Tribolium castaneum: one gene and its partners. The protein of the gene in region 3 binds, or shares a complex with, the protein of the main gene of each other region. Links are inferred from orthologs where the notes say so. Each region holds a gene or a part of one and is shown on either strand. Other genes may lie near its edges. The genes, in order: Hou, glucose-induced degradation protein 4 homolog and armadillo repeat-containing protein 8.

Region 1 (4,131 bases), on a different chromosome or scaffold from region 3:
TGAAGCTTTCTATAAACCGGCCCCTAATTTTGAAAGAAAATGTGATGTTGGCATTTTTATAGTTTTGCAACAATAAGCGGATGCTAATACTTATGTATTATTAGCAGATGCTTAAAAATCATAAAGAAATAAAACTCTACTCATGTCGATACTATTCATAAAAGAGACACAACTAACAAAATGTGATCCACGAAACACTATAAGGAGTTCTGTGATGCTTTTTAATTATTTATTTATTTAAATTTCCGGTTATTTAAACTACTTTGTGAGGAATTATGTAGTGAGACATAAGGCATTACTTTTATACCTAAAAGTAGGATGGCTAATTCGTGGAAACGTTAGCTCGATTCTGGAAATTGGATACAAAGTGACATAATTATTATCTTGGCCACATTTTTTTCTTTTGAATGAAATAGGTAACTATTTCTACCTATTTCATTATAACATCAAATATTTTGAAAGTTAACAGCAGCACTGGAGCAATGATATCGAAGCTTGATCTATGGAAAACATATGTAAATAGAAACAATTTAACATGTTTTCAAAAACTGAATGATTTTAAAGATGCTATAGAAAAATTGTTTGTATGATGTTGAATATTTATCCTATTCGCAGGAAACATTTTTTTCCGTCAACTGTATTGTCATACATGTGGATTAAAAAATCCATATCAAAATTTAAATTTAGAAAAAAATAATGATCTGTCATTAAAAGAAAATCAATTATGTATTTTGTAGATATATCAACACGAACTTTTACTATTTTCGGTAAAACAGTTTAACATAATGCATAGATACTATTATTATAGGTTTTTGCTTTGGGGTTCCAAGAAAATGTAATTTAAACTGTAGGCAAAAGTAAAAAGGTTGAAGACTACTGGCATATACTTATAAAATCACTCATGATTTTTCGACAGAAAGTGTTTCCTGATGAAAGAAGAAAATGATAATGATCCGGTGGGCTCACAAAAGTCGATTTATCATTTTAATTTTTTTTATTGAAACACATTTGTGTGTTCGTTAATAAGCTGAAAACTGTCAGCTGTAAGTAACAAAGTTTGATAGATCCAAAATTTCAAGATGATTTTTCGTTAATTTCGGTGCGTTTTAAGACATTTTTTAGAACTATGATGTCCAAAACGAAACTAGAAATACCGACTCTACATTTAAAGTCTTCCAGACAGCAAATAAAAACCCGAGTAAATAGTTAGTTACAGATTCGTCTGCAGATACAAAATTTTTCTAATAAAAAAAAAATAGAGGCTGATTCATATAACTTTAATTCGAAAAATAAAGTTTTTAGACAATTGGAGATTGAACTGTGTCTAAATTGGCCAAAACAAAAATAACACAGACTGCAATAAATCCTGATAATATAGTGAGAGTTATGGAAGCTGTAGACAGTAATCCATGTATCAGTTAGAGGCGAATTTGGAGACAAACCGGTCGTCGGTTAACCGAATTTTAAAATTATGCCACGTTGATCAAAGCGTTAGCTGATTATGAAAGCGAGTTCTCTGTTGTTATTTTATAGAGGATAAAACGGACCAATAACCTCTTTTTTAAGGTTTGTCAAGGATATCCAAATCACAAACAAATTTATAATTAATAGTGTTTTTGAATTAAGTTTTAATTGAGTAATGTATTACTGGTTGCATTTAACAGTTCGTATCAGGGTCAGAAAATCATGTAAATCACCTTGTATTACTCAAAACATGTATTACTGGTTGCATTTAACAGTTCGTATCAGGGTCAGAAAATCATGTAAATCACCTTGTATTACTCAAAACATTTATCAGACATAGATAAAAACATTTTAAATGTTTAGAATCCTCAAACGTTTCTACTTAAAAGTTCGTTAATTCCGGAGTATTCCGGGCGAGTCCAGGCTTATAAAAAACCGTTTCTTTATTTCCAAAATTCTGCCAACGAGCACTAAACAAGCTTTTTAAATAGGCCAGTAACTCTCGAAATCTATCGGTGCTAACTAATAATATTTAGAATGTTCGAACTTTTCAGGCGATAATTCGCCAATTTCAAAGTGGTACTTTTAAGTAAATGGTATCTTATACTTAAAAGTACCTACTTAATTTTTATATCACCCATTAGCTTGCGTAAATTTTGAAAAGGGGGCACCTTTTGTCTGTGAGATGGGGCCAACAAGTCGCCAAAAGGGCTGTTCAAGGGGTCTTCGAACGCCAAAAGGGCTACAGTCCGTTCCAGCTCCTGCAACACCGAGGGGTCGTCCTCCCCAGCTTCGCTGAGGTGGCTCTGAGCGAAAGCTAGAGCCTCCTCAACCCGGTTACTCCTAATCAATTCAATCAAGTGTTGTTGCTGCAAGAGTCAAATTAGCCCCGATGTGGACTTCCACAGTGCTTTACCTGGAGGTGGAAGTACAAATATCTGTCATTGTCTAACAGTTCTGGATGGAGTTGGTTGATTAAGGCCGTCGCCTCTTGGATCTTCCCGTTCATTATAGCGTCCCTAATACTAATCCTATCATCCAGAGAATGCAAATCTACAGCGGGGACTACTCCCGATTCCTGTTGGAACTTCTCGGCGGCTTCCTTGAACCCCTCTGGAACCGCGAGTTGAGGTTTTTGGTGCCTTAAGGGACAACATACCTGTCACCAAGTAATTCATGATGAGTTTGTTCATTTGGCCACGGCCGATCTCGTTCTCCTCAAGAAGGGCCATCCACTCGTCCCGTGACATCACGTCGTGCTTTTCCGTGTAACTCATCCCTTGGATTCTTTGTTATTATGGCATAAAAATAACACACGGTTTGACATTAGTCTAACAAACGAACTGTCATCGGTCTGTTACTGTCAATGACTCAGTTCCGCCAATCCACACACCCAAACTTACTAAATTTGTTTCTCATTTTATGATTGTTTTGCAATAAACTCAAATAAGTATTCCTAATATATTTTTTTAATTGTAGGTGATGCATTTCTTATCAGATTTTGTTTGTTGTTGCTTTATCTGACGCTGTCTACCAGAGGGCGCAGCCAGTTTAAATATCACCCAAATTTTCTCAAATTCAAAAATTAAAATGTTTCTGGTCGCAAAGGGAACTAATCAACCCAATAATACAAAAACAATAAATAAAAAAAATTGTGGCAACTGAGTTGAGCTGTTGTCAGTGTTTTTACCACGATTTTGACTTAAAAACTAATCATTCGCATTAAATTATTGAATGAATCCAAACATTCAAAGTGATTGGTTTCTTACCTTATTATAATGGCCGACCTTAAACTGACCAATCATATTCTAAAATATTATTTTTGAATGAATCAAAAAAAACTAAAGTGATTGGCTTTCTCCGTAATTTTAATGGCCGACCGCAAACGGCCCAATCAAAATGCTTACAACTTTTACAACAATCATTACGTGTATTATGTTCATTCATAACATGATGAGTCTGTCTTTGTTTTTGTTGCATCTCACATCTTCAGTTTTTCTTTGAATTCTACCCCTCTGGGTAATGTTGGACGATCTACTAGATCAAAAACACCAAAATTGAGATAATGAATGGAAATAAATAAGGAATATTGAATTGAAACACTTTTATTTTAGTCAAAAAGGTTCAACTGACCACTGACGAATTCTCGAAATGACTCATTAAAGCGCACTTTTTCAGTTTAGCAATTGATATTTATCTAAGATTGACATTTCCAAAAAATCCAACAGCTGTCCTTTATGATCTGTCCCCAGGATATTGCGAAAGGGAGTCATGGGATAGATAACTGTTGTAGTTTTAAAAACGGGGCTGGTTTTTTTTGCAGTAAGTGCTTGTGTCCATACTGGCGGCCTGATGCGAACTATTGAAAATCCAATCGAATATTATATTATCTTGAAGCTGATTCAATCTTTCTGAGCGAAAAATACGAAATTTATAATAACATTAGGTCAAAAGACGTGCAAAAACATTATCTGGTTTTGGTTTTTTGCGTTTTTTAAGTACAATCATCATGCCTTTCGAAGAAGTAGGTGTTGTTGGTTCAAAAATTTTTACAAGATTTATGAAAATTTATAATAAACAATTTAAAAAAAACACAGCATATATAGTGGCAAATTATATTACCTATCCCGAAGTTGATTAAATTTTGTGAGCAAAAAAAATTTAAGT
Region 2 (3,281 bases), on a different chromosome or scaffold from region 3:
ACACGCACAGTCAAAGAAAAAGCAACGGACGTAAACTACGCTTTATAAGTACGCCAACGTCACCGGGAAGCGACACGAGAACGAGTTGTGTGCCGAGAAACTCATGTACTATATCTTGATATTTGTTGTACGTGTGTTTTGGTTTTGTGATATTGTACAAAATTGGTTGGTATATCGACATATCAAGGAGAGAATGTAATTTTTTCAAATATTAGTTGAGGCAGTTTTTTGCGTAACCGTCCTAGTTCGGGTAATCAGTGTAAATAATTGTCAGGATTTTAGTGAATAAGTCAGTATTGCACCTTGAGTTGGACGTTGTTGTATATAATTTTTGTGTTACCTATCATTTGTATATAATTTAACCTGTACTTTTTTTACTTTATTTATATTACTTTTTACTAACAGTTTTATGTTACGTAAATAGTGTCACCTATTTTTGTTTAATGAAGTGTATTTTAATAATAATATAGCTGGTACTGAATAATTTCTAACGGTGTGTTTTCCTCGACCCCCAATGAAACAGCAAGGTAAAAACAATTCAAAAAAATATATTTAATACATTTATACACAATATACATAACAATAATGACTTGTTTAGTCTACTTAAGCTAAATAAACAAAAATTTATACAAATCAAACGTGAAACTAAATCAATTACCCAGTCGTTTTCTTAAGAAGTAATTAAAACCAAGCTACCCATAATTATGTACACAAAAATAATGAATAAATACTGCTCACTAGTACACTTATTGAAAAATACTGTGAAAATCAACTTCGCTAGAGAGAGAGAGAGAACGAGGACATGCAGTACTGAAATAAGCCAAGTTTTTCACTCAACCAATTCACCTAAATTCATAAATTTGTATACTATTTTCAGGCACATGTGTTAAATTTAACGACTGAAACCATTCACTGCTTCTGTGGTAGTAGTAACCTTCAATTGTGGCTTTAGATTTTTGAAAACAAATGTAATAGAAACCGGCAAACGAGGCCCCACTTATGTCTTTAATCGTATGGTCAGGAACAAGAAAATGCTCCTTCCACCGCATAAAAACATAGTCGGTGTCGCCGAGCGCCTTATAATCGAAATTGTCCGAATTGAACGTTTTGGCGTATTGGGAAAACGACGAGAATTTGCTCTGCAACAAGAGATATGTTAAGAAAATAATTATACAAAAAAAAATATATTAAGATAGTAAGCTGTGACTGTCCATTAACAGTTGACATTTGGGTTGGCGCCTTCTAGATTGTGAAAATAATAATTATAAGATAGTGAGCTGCGATGCTTGGCTACTTGTAATTTTTGAAATTGTGCTAAAAACAAAGATTTGGGTGCTCACCCAGTGTTTTTTGTCCACGTCCTCGTCGGCGTCCCACTTTCTGGTCAAAAACGGGTACTTTTGGCTGATAATTTCGCCGTCGAAAAACGTAGTCAAGGTGGGATACTCATCGGTGAGCCCGTTAATTTGCAAATAGCCACACAAATAGGAGTTTTCCTCGTCGACGTGCTGGAAAAACGAGCGAAATTTAAATTTCCCGCCATTTCGGATTGCATTAGCATATGTTGATATTTTTAGTTTTCTTTAAATAAGCGGTGAGCAAAAGGGACGTCACACGTCCTACAAGGGTTCGAACGGTACAAAGTCATCGAAATTTTGGTTAAGGGGGGCAATGGTGCGATTATTTGCAACTTCTAACCTGTAAAACCACTTCCACTTCGTACGAATTGCCTTTCGATTTCTGGAAACCTTGAAATTTGGAGCCGTTGTATAAGAGGGACTTTGTTACCCCCGGCTGTTTTGAATTGGCCGGCGGGGGAGGCGTAATATCCACCCTGACCGGCATTTTTAAAGCACTTTTGCACTCAACTGTCACCAATGTCACTTTTTTGAAAGGAAAATGGCGGCGGTGAGTCATCCGAGTCGGTCAGAGCGTTTTTGCGCATGCTCGGTGCGCAACAGGGCCATTAAATGTGTGGGCGACTGTACTCAACCGTAGTTTTGGACAGAAAAACCCATTTTTGCAATCAACTGAATCAACCCAGATTTATTATTTGGGGCAATTATTCGTTAATCTCAAGCGTAATTAACACGTTTTTTGTGTGTACGCTTTAATTACTTTTGGTTATAAGCATTGGTGGTTGCTTACGCTCATTATAACTAAACTTCTAATTAATTTATTGAGCTAGTTTGTGCAATAAAACAGTTTTATTAATTTTTTACCGGTTTTATTCAAAAAAACGTCTTACAAATTAGAGGTATTTTTATGGTACAAAACTTAGTCTTGGGATATAAAGGGGTTCTGTATGGACTCCATGCCGTCCATGGGGCATATGAGCACGACACTTGTGCCCCTACAGACCACCAAACCCAAGGCCCTCGTGTCTTCTGTTAATTTATAAGGGTCGTCTGGATCTCTCAAGTATTCGATTGTGTTGTCTAAGACGAGGTTCAAAAGGGGGTCATAGCCTTTTAAAATACCACTAGCTTCTCGGCCGCCCGCAAATTTCACCCTAATTGTCTTTTCAAGGTATTTAGAGAGGTCTAGAATCGACTCTTTACGTTTCTTCTCTTTTTGGTCACCGCTCTGATTCTACGGTAAAAATGGGGGTTGAGGGGGCGAAATGGGGCAGTTTGGGGTACGTACTTTTGATTTGTCACCTGACGATGCCATTGTTCGGCTTTATTTGTGGAATTTTGCCGATTTTGAAATTCTAACCTAGAATACGTTTGGAGGTGACGCGTGCATATGGTCTCCTATGCGCACGGAACCTTCCGATTAATTTTGAAATAAAAAAAAATAATTATCGGTTTGTAAAGTCCAGCAATTTCGTAATTAATTTTCTTAGCTTCTAAAGAATTACGTAAAAATTGACGCAATTTTGGGACACAATTTGTAGAGGACTGCTTGCGCAGTGGAGGTACAAAGTTTCAAATGAAAAATGCAAAATTCTCGGTTATCATTTATTCAAAAAAAGTTATTTACACATTGGGGCGTTACTAAAGCATTAATACATGTTAACTATTTGGGCTTCAAGCCCTGGCAAAATGTACAGTATGGCAGAAAATTGTTTGTACTGTTGGTCACGAAAGTTGTGTCAGAGTACTAGAACGTGCTCTTCGACTCCAAGACCGCACAAATAAATCGCTTTTCCCTCCTCTAACGTACATCCAATTTCCAATAACGTACACGGCGAACAATCAAACTGATAAACACTGAAAAAGTTAATTAGTTTTTTTTTCCTACCAAACGTGTGACCGACTTACGCAATTGTTAAATTT
Region 3 (3,195 bases):
TTGTCAGTGGAAAATTCTAACCTAAAATTCACACACTTTACTAATTTATTGGTTTCTTGAGCCCAACTTTGTGATCACTGTGATCCATTATTTACAGTCTGCAATTAGACAACTGTTTAATAACACTTTGTAATCAAATTTTATTTTTTTTTCACTTTTTATCCACATTCAAATTCCAACAATTAACACATTATACCGCAGACCAAGATTAAAACTAGTATTTACCACCACGTACAAAAGTACGTGATACTCTCTAATATAAGTATATAACACTATAGACGCAAAATTGTTAAACAATTCGTTAAATGTCAGTTAAATGTGGAATTACGAAAATTTCGTTACTGTTTTCAACATAGTTCAAGTCATCACCAGAGGGCGTCTAGTTAATTTTATTTCCGAATACATTTTGTTTGTAAATAAAAATTAAACTTAACAAAAATAAAAGACAGAAATGTTAATAGTAACTTTATTTTTGGTAATTCATACAGAATGCAATCCAAAAACAAACGGAAATAAATAATCTTTTATTGTTAATGATGCTGTAAATTAAAATCGATAACAAAAGCCAAAGTGTTGACTAAAAGCGTAAAGTTTATACAATTATCTACAAATTCATAAACCGATGCTAACAGAGTCAATATTTTATTTGTCATTTTCATCCTCTTCTCCAATTGTACCTAACTGACCTCGAATAAAAAGTGTCATGTGCTTTTAACCAGGATGTAAAACATAATAATTAGATCTTGGATCATATAATCAGCATCCTACAATAATTACAAATAAAATAATAATAAAAAACAAAATATACACTTGTCAGTCTACACATCACATTAATATCAGATAGGGGGATCATGTATCCTTAAAACAGTAAATAAACTTCATACATCATTATACTGCGTGAGCGCCGTTTTAACTCTGGAACAGAACGCAAAATCAGCTCGCCCTCCTTAACCAACCACCAACTCACCGATTGTACAGCATCGTATTAGAAGTACTCAACAACTGCTGGAGGATATTAACAACTCCCATCTCCTTTAACTTATTCTGCCTCTCCACAGAGCCCGGCTCTCCCAACCTCGACAAATTATCGATGCAGAAAACGGACGCTTGCTGCAAACAGGGCGCTGGGTGCGTCATATAGCCGATTAATTTCTTAAGTACGTCCTCGTTCGACATTATGTGCTCCCTGGCCTTCTCGCCGTCGGCGATGTTGCCCAGGATGCACAGCGCCTGCTCCTTCACTTCGGGGGAATACGGCCCCTCCAGCACCAGCACCACGCCCTGCATGACCTGGGGGCCGTGCAGCGACATCATGGTGTCGGTGTGCGTCCGCGGGGACACCAGGTTGCGCAACAGCCCCAAGGTCTTCATGAGGACGCGCGTGTCCGAGTCGCCCAGCAACCGGAAGATCTGGTCGGTGCCGAGGGCGGTTAAGATTTGGGATTTGACTCGTTGCTCTGCCCGAAACGCGAGATTCATTAGAGCCCAGACGCCGTTCAGACGAAGGGATGGCTCGGGACGGACGGTCAGGGTTGCCAACAACTGCACGACGCCTTGCTGGATCATGGGCTCTTTGGCGGGGGAGAATTCCAGGAGGAAGTTGCAAAGGGCGGACGAGGCGGCTGTGAGCAACTCCGTCGAAGGGCAACCTGAATGTCAATGTTTCTCTTATGGCATGGTCATTTATTGTTACGTAAATGTTAACGTTCTTATAAAAAGAAGTATAAATTCATAAAATTATAATTTTAATCACACTCAAATTATACACAAACTGTCCGTCTTCCAAATAGCGAAGATTATCAGTCTACACTAAAATGCAAATTAGGATTTCATACAACTCCGATGTTTTTAAAAGTGAAAAGAAGTGAACAATAAACAGCTTAAACGCAGGAAAACCTAATTTGCATTTTACTGCAGACTGATCATCTACTAAGCTGCATTGTTGTAAGAACTATTATTTTGGGCACTAAAAAACTACTTCCCATATGATTATTTTGTATTTCTTTAAAAATAAAATATGTATTATGCCACAATTAAATGACAAATTTATTATTTAGCAAATACAGGTGGTCCAGCTCAGCTACCGCGTTCTATAGCTCACTTATTATTAAAGTTGGAGGTTTGATATTTTGTAGATGGTATTTATACTCTAGGACACATTTCAGGAAAATATTTTTGACTGTACAGTGTCCCTAAAAAGTATGACGTCATAGTAATATCTTTTTTAATGGTAAGCTATTATTTTTTTGTACTCATTATGATACCTTTTTAGCTTCTTACATGTCCCTAATTTTTTTTAACTCGGTTCAGACATTACTGTTTAAAAAAATAAAAACAAAAAAATCGGTTTTACACCTTTAGTTTCAAAAATTAATAAAAAATAGAAACAGTGCTTGTTTGAAAACATTTTTACTACGTAAGTGTTAAGCAAGGTCTAACAGACTTATAAGTGAGTTTGGGTGATTTGAATTACTACAGTGTTTACAATTTATTTCCAAACTTTTTAAATTTTAGAGCCTTTTATTTTGCTTATTTTAAATGGCAACCCCTATTTTTTTATATCACTCGATGCAGAATTAAAAAACGATCAACTTATTATAATACAACCATAACATAGATCCTAACACATTCGGAGTTATTTGATAAAAACTTGTTTTGTCAAGAATTTAAGACACTTTTAATGATTACATATCGCAAATGGTTTCAACGCCGTTTACTTTTATGGTAATCGATCCAGAATTAAAAAACAAACATTTTTTGTTATAACAATCCTATTGCAAATCTTCACATATTCAAAGTTATTTGCTAAAAACTCATTCTGTTAATGACAAATTTCTTTAATGATTAAAAGTAGAACATGGTTAAGGTTTTTGGCAAATAACTCCGAATGTGTTAAGATTTACGTTAGGGTTGTAATAAAAAAAATGTTCATTTTCTAATTCCCCATCGAATGGTATAAAAATAAACAGGGGTTGCCAATTAAAATAAGCAAAATAAAAAGCTTTAAAAATAAAAAAATATTAGAAATAAATTGTAAACACACTGTAATAATTCAAATCAATCAAAGCCACTTAATATGTCAGTTAGACCTTGTTTAACACTTACATAGTAACAATGTCTTCAAAAAATCACTATTTCTATTTTTTATTAATTTTTAAAACTAATGATGTAAAACCGCTATTTTTTGTTTTTTTT

What was found.
Region 1: the proteins of armadillo repeat-containing protein 8 (region 3) and Hou are in contact, whole or in part, in a cryo-EM structure (PDB 7NSC), measured with the Homo sapiens proteins. The link is inferred for Tribolium castaneum from reciprocal best matches to the Homo sapiens genes ARMC8 and GID8. Residues at the interface, in NP_001350870.1 of Homo sapiens: Asn45, Val47, Ile48, Gly49, Asn50, Val85, Ser89, Met92, Arg127, Arg130, Arg161, Tyr162, Tyr166, Leu200, Ser201, Tyr202; in NP_060366.1 of Homo sapiens: Ile83, Ala84, Asn87, His90, Pro91, Glu92, Leu94, Asp95, Thr96, Tyr101, Tyr183, Glu184, Asn185.
Region 2: the proteins of armadillo repeat-containing protein 8 (region 3) and glucose-induced degradation protein 4 homolog are in contact, whole or in part, in a cryo-EM structure (PDB 7NSC), measured with the Homo sapiens proteins. The link is inferred for Tribolium castaneum from reciprocal best matches to the Homo sapiens genes ARMC8 and GID4. Residues at the interface, in NP_001350870.1 of Homo sapiens: Glu309, Pro310, Asp311, Val312, Asn371, Glu373, Arg406, His409, Arg413, Ser414, Val415, Gln416, Arg419, Thr420, Gln423, Asp424, Val444, Ser448, Cys451, Asn452, Leu455, Phe457, Ala483, Val486, Asn487, Trp490, Met493, Asn494, Phe497, Gln498; in NP_076957.3 of Homo sapiens: Leu104, Ile105, Pro106, Pro107, Pro108, Pro109, Ile110, Gln114, Pro115, Gly116, Val117, Ala118, Thr119, Gly125, Gln146, His147, Tyr154, Cys156, Tyr158, Phe174, Glu176, Phe239, Val241, Pro242, His244, His292, Ser293, Ala294, Pro295, Ile296.

The regions. Positions count from the first base shown.
Region 1 is NC_087398.1:12,054,322-12,058,452, reverse strand, and holds the start of Hou (glucose-induced degradation protein 8 homolog), read right to left. Parts: upstream 2,842-4,131; 5' UTR 2,742-2,841; coding exon 2,624-2,741; intron 2,578-2,623; coding exon 2,381-2,577; intron 2,334-2,380; coding exon 2,136-2,333; intron 1-2,135. UniProt on the Homo sapiens protein: Core component of the CTLH E3 ubiquitin-protein ligase complex that selectively accepts ubiquitin from UBE2H and mediates ubiquitination and subsequent proteasomal degradation of the transcription factor HBP1.
Region 2 is NC_087399.1:1,123,974-1,127,254, forward strand, and holds glucose-induced degradation protein 4 homolog, read right to left. Parts: upstream 1,910-3,281; 5' UTR 1,846-1,909; coding exon 1,699-1,845; intron 1,509-1,698; coding exon 1,341-1,508; intron 1,140-1,340; coding exon 843-1,139; 3' UTR 529-842; downstream 1-528. Other genes in the region: Rab40 (ras-related protein Rab-40B), read left to right, coding at 1-119; U6 snRNA-associated Sm-like protein LSm7, read right to left, coding at 2,278-2,592, 2,647-2,673; ENGase (cytosolic endo-beta-N-acetylglucosaminidase), read right to left, coding at 3,098-3,215, 3,267-3,281.
Region 3 is NC_087394.1:22,526,254-22,529,448, forward strand, and holds the end of armadillo repeat-containing protein 8, read right to left. Parts: intron 1,650-3,195; coding exon 968-1,649; intron 916-967; coding exon 879-915; 3' UTR 510-878; downstream 1-509. UniProt on the Homo sapiens protein: Component of the CTLH E3 ubiquitin-protein ligase complex that selectively accepts ubiquitin from UBE2H and mediates ubiquitination and subsequent proteasomal degradation of the transcription factor HBP1.